Astyanax mexicanus: one gene and its partners. The protein of the gene in region 2 binds, or shares a complex with, the protein of the main gene of each other region. Links are inferred from orthologs where the notes say so. Each region holds a gene or a part of one and is shown on either strand. Other genes may lie near its edges. The genes, in order: tmem216, b9d2 and mks1.

Region 1 (3,758 bases), on a different chromosome or scaffold from region 2:
AGCAGAAATATCAGCTATTAGGTGATACGTTGACTTCAACCAAGTTTTAGTAATTCAGGCTTTACCTCTCAGTGCTGTTCAAATAAAGCACAAGTGTTCATATGTTTAACATGTTCATAAGACGGGGTTTTTGTGGGGTGTCATTTAACGTGTGAATTCTGTGTTCTATGATAAATGCAACCAAGGTATGTATCTTTCTCTTCTTCATGTAAATAACCTTTTTGGATTTAACTTTTTATTTGGTTGTGCCCTGTTAAGCAGAATGACGATTCTGATGCTACTGTTGTGCCTTCCGGTGTACCTTCTAAGAATGAGGAAAACAGTGAAGGTCTTACTGTTCCTGTGCAGTCTGTGAAAAAAACTACCCTAGACAGTCTGGGGCCATATGAACCTGATGTCCCAGTGGGTAAGCCAACAGTGTTTTCGTTAAAGAACATTTTAATATATTAAATAGAGATTTAGGAAACAAATATGTATAATAATAAATGTATATATGAGGGTACATCACTTTTGGCCCTTTGATGTTCTTGTAGGTGCAGAGTTTGTGAAGATGGGATATTATTGCAGAGTCTGCTTCCTTTTTTACTCAAATGAAGACACCGCTAAGAAGGTCCACTGCAGCAGCCAAGCACACTACAACAAACTTAAGGTGCTTTATTACAGCTAAAATAGCTTTAATTTATCATATGTTGCATGCAAGAATAAAAAATCTGACTTTTTTTTTTTTGTTTTCTTTTTTTTTTAGAAACACTTGGAAAAGGAGAAGGCAAAAGCACAAAGAGAAAATATGACCAGAGAGTAACACTGGGAAGAACTGAAGCTATAGGAGATGATGTCCTTGGTACTATACAGTATTTGATAGTGCATGAGCTGTTAGTGCAGTATACTGATATAATGTATATTATACTGGTATAATGTATTTTCAGTAAGCTGATTCATTTGCCATATTTTTTTCCCCTTTTTTTTATCTTACTAGATCCTAGAACACATTCATCTGCTGTTACTTTCTGTCTTGCCATATTAAAAGTATTCCTTCAACTATTTGCTGGTTGTGACTGATTCAGCACTACAGACATACAATAAAACTTTCATTATGGTCTGTCCCTTAAACTGTTTCGTGTCTGGTTTGTAAAATGTATGTTAATAGTAAAATGTTAAAAGATAATAGTATCACATTCCAGTTCTTTGCTCTTTATTGGGTGAGTGCAGCGTCTAATTACTTTAATGAATAATAGAAATTAGAATACTTTTAGGCAAACAATTGGCCTGGTTTACTGATTAGTGATTGATGTCTTTGCAAGAGGAAATTTTAAAAATAAGGGTTTACTGAGTGTTCTTTCTGCTTGCATGCACCAGCGTGCTGAAATAACCCTCCTACATTAATATATTTAAGATAATTGGATTGAATATAGATATCTTATAATTGTATTAGTTATATTTAGAAGATTTTTGAATTTGGGTAATTGAACACTGACGCAATAAATGAAATCACATTACGAAACATGCTGGTAATTGCATTAAAAGATGTTTCTCAGTTTTACCCCAATTTTATTTTTTCTTTTAAACTGAAAGCGTGTCCTCGTGCGTGTGTGCGCTCTCGCTCTTACGCTGTTTCTGATTGGATGGACTTAAGTCAGACGCTAGCAGGTCCCCGAACTCTGATTGGACAACTGTCCAGTTACCGCCCTAGGATGACGCCGTCTCCATGGTATCCAAAATGGCGACCCACGGTAAGACGTATCCAAGCTGATAGTAACTAGTTAAAGCAGAGAGGCTAAAATTACCGGATAAATATATTTAATATATAATAAACAGGTTTAGGACGAGTAAACTCATTGTTCCGGTCATTTTACAGTCAGATAAACGGCGTTTCTCCCGCTGTTCTGCTGTTATTTTCCGAGAAGACGCTGTTCTTTCTCTCTGTTGGGACTAAAACCTCAAACCCGAGTTTGTGTGAGGATGATGTTGATAATTCTGCTCTCTGAGATAAATCAGGCCTGGAGTGGAAAAGTTTTAGACGGTTTTACAGTTCCTGTTCTAGCAGAAACAGCGAAGCATATCCGAATGATTCTTCTTATCGTTCAGTGAAGCTCAGATAATTACTACACTCCAGTCCATTACACTAAACAAAGCGAAACAAACAAAATATAGCTACACATATATTAGGCAAAATAATCTAAAAGGGATAGAAATATTAATATATCTAAATACACTAAAAGTTATATGGCAGCAGCTGTAATTGCACAGTAGGAATGTGCTGACCCTATATCATATCATACAAAATATTGGGATATGTAAGATTAAAACAGTCCATATTGTGCGCATTTAAGCTTACTAGCTACTGTAATTGTTTGCTCTAAGACATTATTTTTATGTTTTGTTGCTACGTTATTTATTTTGTTAAAAAAATCAACAGTCTTGGTAAATTCCTGTTGTTTGCAAAATAGATGAAGTAGTATGTTTTCGAAATTTTTATATATATATATATATATATATATATATATATATATATATATTATATGAAATTTTATTCATATAATTATCTTGTTTCTCTCATTTTCTTTTTCATTACAATTTAGATTTGTTTATATACTGTTGTATTTGTCTTGCTGTGTTTATTGTTTATTACTGTTTGTAGTACCTAGAGCCTGTTTCTATGTATAAAAAGGTATATAAAAGTAAAAAATTAAGTTATTAGTATAAGTATTATTATTATCATCAAATATATAGAATCAGGCCAATGACAATGCTGCAGTATAGTTCCATCCTCTGCTAATAGTTTGTGGTGCTTAATTTGAGATTAATTTATTATCAGTATTCTGTAAAACTGATTTTTATTTAAATTTTTGTAATGCACTAGATTTTTACATTTTGTTATTTTTTCTCTTCCAGGAAAGCACCCCATTGTATCCTTTTAGTGCAATATTATCTCTTTCCTGCTTGTCTTTCTTTACTCCTGTGTTGTCTCAGGGAAATGAGTAATATAACAGTCTATTATTAGTCTTCTTAACAGAAGATCTCAGTTGTCCTCCACACCCCTGCAGGTCCTCTTTTATTTAAACAGCTGGTATTTTGCTGTGTTCTTCATCGCTGAGATCTTAATGTTTATTTATAAAGGTAAAGTATCACAAGAAGTATTCTGCTCTGATATGTGTATTTTATATTAACAATAATACCATCAAACATACTGTTTTTAATTGTTTTTAGGAGTGTTGCTCCCATACCCGCAATCAAATCTCATACTTGACATTGTGCTGCTTCTTCTCTACCTTGGCCTTGAAACCCTCAGACTGTTTTACGGTCAGTGTACGACGCAGAATTTTATTTCTATATTTTAACACACACTAATAAAAAAAAACTGCTGTAGACTCAGCATGCTGGTATGTCTCAGGCAGGCAGTTAAATTATTAAAGATGAAAAGTGCTTCCCTATAAGATTGGTCTCAGAGGCTACTTTTGGGTAGTGTACTTCTCACAGAGAGATCATTAACTGATAGACTTGCCTCTGATGCACTTAAGTGTGCACATTATTTCTATTTCTATGTACTGTTTTTACTACTAAAAGTATGCTTTCACTCTAATATCTAATTTTACTACATATATTTACATTACATTCACACAAATTTTTCTTGTTTTGTTTTTGTCTGTGAGTGTATTTCAGACCTGTAGCATTTTTAATGACTGTAGGACTTCTGATGTTTCTGTTTTTGTAGGCTGGAAGGGAAACCTGTGTGAGCGCACTCTGACGCTATCCATTAG
Region 2 (3,758 bases):
GTCACCTATCTGGGGCATGTCCACTTGCGTCTGTCCTTCCTTCAGTCCAGAGAGGAGCCTCCATGCTCCTCCTGATGGGCAGATTGAGAGAGACACAATGAGAATGAAACTAATCCAGGTTTAGATTCATGAACAACAAAAGCAAACACCTTGCAACCAAAACTAAAAAGATTGGAGGGATGTGAGATAAGATTAGAGACGATTGGATACCTGTGTGAACACCCCACTTGCAGAACAAACTACTCTGAGGGAAACCGCTGGCCCCGACAATCTGTCCGATTATGTGCAGCTCTGCCATAAGACTCTGCAAAAGATTGGAAAATGAGTTACATCTGAAGATTTTTTTTATATAAAAAAGATGAATAAAGGAAAAGAAAGAAAGAAAGGCAAAAATAATAATAAAAAAATACATACAAAAAGACATTTTTCTTATTATAGTATAAAATAGGTCTGTAGTGTGAACCAGTTTACAGTAGACACTAAACAGTAGGTTGGAAATCAGTAATTAAAATGATAGTACTAATCAATCAGCTAACTAATATCAACATAATATACCCCACAATTCACAACAGCGAAAATGCAATAAAAATAAATAAATAAAATGAATAAATAAAATAAATAAATAAAACATAAACCTTACAAAACTGTTTCTGAATTTAATTATATATCTGATGTAGAATATCTTGACAGCAGATCCACAGAAGAAAGCAACAGTGTAATCTAATAAGTCAGCTACTCTTTCTGTACATATGGAAGTGATTACATATATATGAAGAGAGCCAATATATCCATTAAACCCACAACTGCTGTTCTAAAGAGAAGCATGCGATTACATCTCACTCAGATTTCAGAAAAGAGCATTTCTTTTCCATCCTATATTTTAGGTTTAGAGGAATTTAAATCTAAATCAGTGACCTCATGATTCAGTCATAGTGGTGTTTATTGCGATTCTCAACTGGTGGGTCAGGACACGGACACGTTCTGGGAGGGTTACAGACAGCTTTATAAAAAAGAAATACATTTAAAATATAAATTAAATGAAAAAATAATTCATGCTGATCTGATGTTGTACTGTCCTTTATATTGAGGAAAAAGAGAGAGTTTCTTACTTATGTACTCAGAATGCAGAGATATGCAAAGAAATTAAATATCTTATTTTGTGGGCTTATTTTTTGTTTTGTGCAGTTTTGATATTTAATTTTATTGCAGTAACTTTTAAAAATGTAGTTGTCATGTTCCTCCTCAGTTTCTTCTTTTTTAGAAAATGCTCTTAAACTCACTTTGCATGCATATGTATGTTTAAATGGGTATGTTAAAACATTAATTTGTTTGGTTTGTATTCTATAAAAGTGGGTCACAACTTAATGACCACGAGAAAATGTGGGTCCCGGGCTCAGACCAGTTGAGAACTCCTGAGCTAGATAACTCACTAAATGGTCATGTTAGTCAAAAATTGTTTAAACTACATAAATGTAATAAAAATACTAATTTAATAAAGAAATATGAATAAAGTCTGATTTACTATATGGAATATGGAGCTAGTTTTGTCAGGATAATTATATTATGGACACCATATGTTATTATATTATTTTGGCAGATCTCAACATTATCCCTTTCTGAAAAGAAATTAGGATTAGGATCCGATAAACTATATTTTTCTTTGAAATGAAAATCTCCATTTACAATGCTGTGTAGTCCAAGACTAGGCTTAATCCCTGTATGTCACTGGGAAAACTGCATTGCTTTTCGATAACATGAACGAGCAGATTTTAATATTTAATATTTTTTAAAGTATGCTTAATTAGTTTAGGATATTTTGGAGAAACAAAATAAAAGACCACTTAAAATGATGAGTTTCTTTGATTTTGCCAAATTGAAAACCTCTGGAATATAATCAAGAGGAAGATGGATGATCACAAACCATCAAACCAAGCTGAACACCAAGGAGTAAAGGCATAAAGTTATCCAAAAGCAGTGTGTAAGACTGGTGGAGGAGAACATGGGAAGATGCATGAGAAAACTGTGATTTAAAACTAGGTTTTTTGGTTATTCCACCAAATATTGATTTCTGAACTCTTAAAACTTTATAAATATGAATGTTTTCTTTGCAGTATTTAAGGTCTGAAAGCTCTGTATCTTTGTTGTTACAGGTGATTCTTAGCGTTAGCTCACTTTGGCTAGGCTAAGGCTAAGCTAAACAGGTAGCTTAGTCAGAAAACTAGCTTAACTAGCCTAGCCTAGCTTATAAAACACAGCCTATCTGTCTATAATAATATCTAAGCTATCTGTATTACCACATACAGTGAGGAGTATAGTACCAGCTCACCACAGGCGGATCATTCAGCAGAGATCTGCTGGAACACGGTGCTGTAGGTAAGTTTATGTGGATCAGAGCGCTAATCCTGAGCTCAGTGTTTACACTGCTCCACACAGCCCGTCTCCAGCCGCTCCTTCCCTTAGTAACGCGCAGACTCTCTAATACACAGAGCTCCCACTGTACTACTGACAATCTGCTGCGGGTCTTTACTCAGACACCAGAGGGCCTTTAAAATTAATACTTATCTATTTAGGGTAGTTTATATCTGCTAATCTACTTTTACTTGGATTGCTATACGGAGCCCCTAATGTGACTTCATGTTAAAATGAAAATCAATAGGTTTTTCCTATTTAAGACCAGCAGCTAGTTTGGGACCAAGTCTCAGCTAACCAACCAATCAGCACATATTAGCAGCAATGCTAGCGCCTTTCAATAGGAAAACACGTTTATTTTATAACAATAGAAAAAACACAGGTAAAGTTTATTTTCTTGTTTAGTATATTCTTCAATATACTTTCTAAAATCAAATTAATATCCCGGATAAGTAGTTTTGCACTCTGTTTAATTTGAGTTTTTAGCCGTTTAGCTCCATTCACCCCATTGATTGAGGATTCACTCGCGGGCTCCCCCTAGTGGTTAGACGTATTTACTGATAGAAGTATAATAGTGGGGCGTCTCGCTCTGTCTCGCTCTCTCTGTTTGAATCTGTGGCAGGAGAGATGCAGCTCTAAAGCTCTTTGCTGTCGCCTGCTGTTCAGGACCCATTGTTTTATTATTATTTTTTTGTATTAGAGCTATATTAATAACAAATACAATTTAAACATTCAAGGACAAAAAATAATGGTACCAGCAATCTGACATATTAATATAAGAAAGTTACAAGAAATTATCAGGCAGAAACAAACCAAAAGAAATAAAATATAAAGAATATAAAAAGAAAAATGAATAAAAAAAATAAATAAACTAAATTAATAAGAAATAAGCCAGAAAAAAAGTATGACCCGTGCTTTTTTTTAAAACAATACACAATACACAAAGTCTTCCTGGTTTATTTTTAATTATTTTTAATTATTTTTTTTTTATTATTCTTTCTATATATAAATAAAAAATAAGTAAAAAAGACTTTCTGTAATGTTCACTTCATGTAAAATCGCAAACAAATGTGTATATATGATGAGAATAATGTATTAAAACTTCATGTTTGTATATTTTGCTAAGCCTGCAATAAAAAATAAATTAAAAAAATTCCCATACTAAAAAAAAATATTTTAACTTTAATAAAATACTTTTTGTGAATAAGTTGTAATTAAATTGTTCAATCAGTATGTTAAATTTGTTTTTTCAATATCAAGAAAAAAACTATAAATACCGAAAAGAACAAATTATTGTTTTAACATATGTTTTGTCCTCCACATTGCTATTTAATTCGTTATATTACACA
Region 3 (3,758 bases), on a different chromosome or scaffold from region 2:
GGAGACAGACCACTCACCGCTGTACTAATGAGAGCCACTCAGCTTGCTGCTAGTGCTAAGTGTGGAGTTGTGCGCAGGCGCAGTAGCCATAACAAACCGAAAAAAGACGTTTTTTGTACATTTTTGTAAAAAACGTTAAACATTGTTTTAATTATATATTTGTCAATTTTATCAGTAATGTAAAATATGATGTTAAACTTGTAATTATGCCTTCTATTTAGAGTATTTTGGTCTCTTCCCATTCAAACAGATAGGAGGCTGGTCTTGCACGAGAAGATCATAAGCGTCGCGAGATGGCGGTCAAGTGAACTGTCTTGCCTGTAAAAAGTCTTTGGCAAGAGGCAGTTTATAGAGAGCCTGATCATTTAACAAGCAGAATCGCTGCAGCATTAAACGACAAGGAACCGCTAGAGGGAGCCCGCGAGTCCTAAATGAATAATGTAAATGGAGCTAAGAGGTTAAAACTTTAGAAAAGTAATAAAAGAAACAAGTAAATTAAAATTTACTAGATAAAATGCAATAAAATCAACGTTAAACAATAATAAAAATATATAAATAGAAATGCAGTGTAAAATGACAAAAAGAGCAAATAAAAAAGTAAAGTAAGATTGCAAAAGATTGCAGATATAAAATATATATACAAACTATAAAATAATATATGATAAAATGAACAAATCAATTATTAAAATAAAAGATTATAGATATATGTCTTCAGATACTTTTTGAAACTGTTTTCTGACTCTGTCTAATCTCTATTTGTAAGCTGTTATATTTCTTTGGTGCATAAAAAACATAATCCCCCCCCCCCCACTTTTTGGTTCTTATTAATTTTAGGTACTGTAAGCAGACTTGCAGTGCTTGATCTTAAACAATGACTTGAAACATATAGAGATAGACAATCTGTAATTTATGATGGTGCCAATCCATGTAATGCCTTAAAACTAATAGCAGTACTTTAAAATCTATCCTAAAATAGACTGGAAGCCAATCTAGTTTTGATAAACACAATAATCAATTTGTGAAAAAGTCCCAATTCAAGGCATTTCTTTAAATATAGAAAGTAACATTTATAACTCTGATTTTTCTAAATTCCTCCATAAGAATCCACTCATTTTGGACTCAGTCAAGGTGCGCCCTCTGGTGCTGTGACAAAGCCGTAACAAATTCTCGAGTGGGTATTCTCCCCTCTAAAGATTCTTTGCGTAAACTCTAACAAAGGGTAAGTCTCAATTTGACTTTTTTAGGGAACAAGTGTAGGTAGCCTGTTTAAGTCATAAATGCAAACACAGATAGCTAATGATGTTTGTGGTTAAAAAAAAAGATGTTTGTGGTTATTTAGCTAAACACAATGTACTCTGTTCATAATGGGCACTAGATTAGTCACTGATCTTGACTGACATCCAGCTTTCAAGCAGTTGCTAGTAAACAGCATGCCAGTGTTCAAAACACTAAAGCTAAAATAAAATGAAGAATAAATATTATTCTCAAAGTATGTATAAATAAATAAATAAAGTATTATTTATTTATCATAGTATTATACCGGGCTGGTCATTTCACTCGGCCACCTTAGAAAAAAGCCCACCCAACCCTAAAAAAGGGGTGTTCGAATTTTCACTACGTAGGGGGCAAGGAGTCGATTCGAGGCGCGCCCATTAACCAGAGCTCCTATTGGGGGATCTGGGCGAAGGTGACCGGAACTCCTTTCCACGTGCGTGTGCGCTAAAGCTTAAATGCTGCTTTGTCAGAGACCCTCTACAGAGGAGACTACCTACTTCAGTGGTCTCTTTCGGGTTTGTCAGACACCAGAGGGCGCTCCAGGGTGATTCCAAAATAAAAATGAATGGGTACCTTTAGCGTTTGAGCAAAATCATAGTTTATGAATGTTTGTATAAATAAGTTTTATATTTTCATAGAACTTCAGATGTTTTAGTACCGAAGACATAAAAATGTTTAAACCCCAATTTTACATTACATTACATTACATTACATTTGGCAGACGCTTTTGTCCAAAGCGACTTACAATATTGAAGTGCAAATAATAGAAGAGGTTAAGTACAAAAATACCTGAGTACAAGATACCTGAGTTTAAATTTTAAGACTTTTAAACTCAGGTATCTTGCTAGCTATACTAGTTCATCTAAAAAAAATGAATATCATTGAAAAGTTTAGTAATTCAGTTCAAAATGTAAAATTCATATATTATATAGATGTATTACACACACAGTGTTCTATTTTATTGTTGATGATTATGGTGTACAGCTAATGAAAACTTAAAAATCAGTGTCTCAGAATATGATATAAGACCAATTGGTACCTTTCGCAGTGTGGGCAGTGTGCCACGTCCTGCTGGAAAATAAAATCCGCATCTCCATTACATCTGTCAGCAGAGAGAAGAATGAAGTGTTGTAAGATTTTCCAGGAAAACACTGCACTGACTTTGGACTTGATATAACAAATTGGATCAACACCAGCAGATGACATGGCTCTCCAAACCATCATTGACCATTAGCAAATCAAGGGATCAGAGTCTGGAAGAAGAGTGGAGAGACACAGAGTCCAAGCTGCTTGAGGTCTAGAGTGAAGTTTCCACAATCAGTGATAGTCTGGAAAGCCATGTTATCTTCTGGTGTTGGTCCACTGTGTCCAAAGTCCAAAGTCAGTGTAGTGTTTTCTCACTTCATTTTTCCCTCTGCTGACAACTTTTACGGAAATACGGATTTCATTTTCCATCAGGCACACTGCCCACACGGCCAAAAGTACCAATTGGTCTTATATTGGTACTATATTTTTGTTTTTCCACTGGCTGTAAGCCATAATCATCAATAAAAGAAATAAACACTTAAAATAATCACTCTGTGTGTAATACTGTGTTTCACATTTTTAACTGAATTACTGAAATAAAGTAACTTTTCATTAATATTCTATTTTTTATTTGAGATGCACTATTATAACTTGTCCAGCATCAGCTCACATTAGCTGTAATGCTAGCGTGATTACTGCTTAAAATCCGTTTGCTGGAGAAACATAGAAATATATAGGTAGGTTTTATTTAGCTTTTTGGCAAAACACGTCAGTATACTTTCTAAATGTAACAGAATACTTCGGTAAAGCAGTTAGGAAATATTTTACATTAGAGTTTTTAACCGTTTAGCGCCATTCGCTCCCATTCATTGAGGTCTTCCTCGCGGGCTCCCTCTAGCGTTTTGAGGTCATTTTCTGATTATAACGGTGGAGCTGTGGGCAGGCTCTCCCTGAACCAGCTTCGCTTCAGTAACAGTAGCGTTAGAGTTGGCTAGGCTAGGCTAGTTAGTTACTAAATGGCTTGGAGTCTGATTTAAAACAAACTTAGGTGACCGTTTTTGTAACAACGATGTGTTTTATCCAGCTAAACCGTATTCATACTGAATGAATACGTGGTAACGTTAGCTACGTTGGCTAACTAGACAGCTAGCCATGGTAAATCCATTGAGAGCTAACGTTATAGAGATACAGTAGTTAGCTGATGTTATTTAGCTTAGCTAGTTAAACGTGTTTACTGCTAACTACTAACTACTACCCTCTATTCATTTTTTGGAGTTTAAAGAGTGGAGGACAGGACGTGGTTTAAGAGTTATTATACTACAGTGGCTTAATTCGAGCAGAATCATGTGGAAATTGAACTTAATTCACCTCAAATCTTTAAGGACTTCAGGCAGATGTTCCAGGCTCATTAGGAATAACATATTTTCACCAACTGAAGATTTCCTAACAGTCTCATT

Evidence for each region.
Region 1: b9d2 (region 2) and tmem216 share a complex: the UniProt entries of both Homo sapiens proteins name them as parts of the tectonic-like complex. The link is inferred for Astyanax mexicanus from reciprocal best matches to the Homo sapiens genes B9D2 and TMEM216.
Region 3: b9d2 (region 2) and mks1 share a complex: the UniProt entries of both Homo sapiens proteins name them as parts of the tectonic-like complex. The link is inferred for Astyanax mexicanus from reciprocal best matches to the Homo sapiens genes B9D2 and MKS1.

What each region holds. Positions count from the first base shown.
Region 1 is NC_064417.1:38,793,459-38,797,216, forward strand, and holds the start of tmem216 (transmembrane protein 216), read left to right. Parts: upstream 1-1,486; 5' UTR 1,487-1,705; coding exon 1,706-1,730; intron 1,731-2,892; coding exon 2,893-2,906; intron 2,907-3,023; coding exon 3,024-3,117; intron 3,118-3,207; coding exon 3,208-3,300; intron 3,301-3,712; coding exon 3,713-3,758. Other genes in the region: uncharacterized protein matr3l1.1, read left to right, coding at 259-406, 534-649, 746-802. UniProt on the Homo sapiens protein: Part of the tectonic-like complex which is required for tissue-specific ciliogenesis and may regulate ciliary membrane composition.
Region 2 is NC_064424.1:5,650,342-5,654,099, reverse strand, and holds the start of b9d2 (B9 domain-containing protein 2), read right to left. Parts: upstream 2,551-3,758; 5' UTR 2,319-2,550; intron 305-2,318; 5' UTR 299-304; coding exon 211-298; intron 72-210; coding exon 1-71. UniProt on the Homo sapiens protein: Component of the tectonic-like complex, a complex localized at the transition zone of primary cilia and acting as a barrier that prevents diffusion of transmembrane proteins between the cilia and plasma membranes.
Region 3 is NC_064408.1:26,070,458-26,074,215, reverse strand, and holds the start of mks1 (Meckel syndrome type 1 protein), read right to left. Parts: upstream 2,571-3,758; 5' UTR 2,500-2,570; coding exon 2,315-2,499; intron 24-2,314; exon of another isoform or gene 1-23. Other genes in the region: mrm1 (rRNA methyltransferase 1, mitochondrial), read left to right, coding at 3,646-3,758. UniProt on the Homo sapiens protein: Component of the tectonic-like complex, a complex localized at the transition zone of primary cilia and acting as a barrier that prevents diffusion of transmembrane proteins between the cilia and plasma membranes.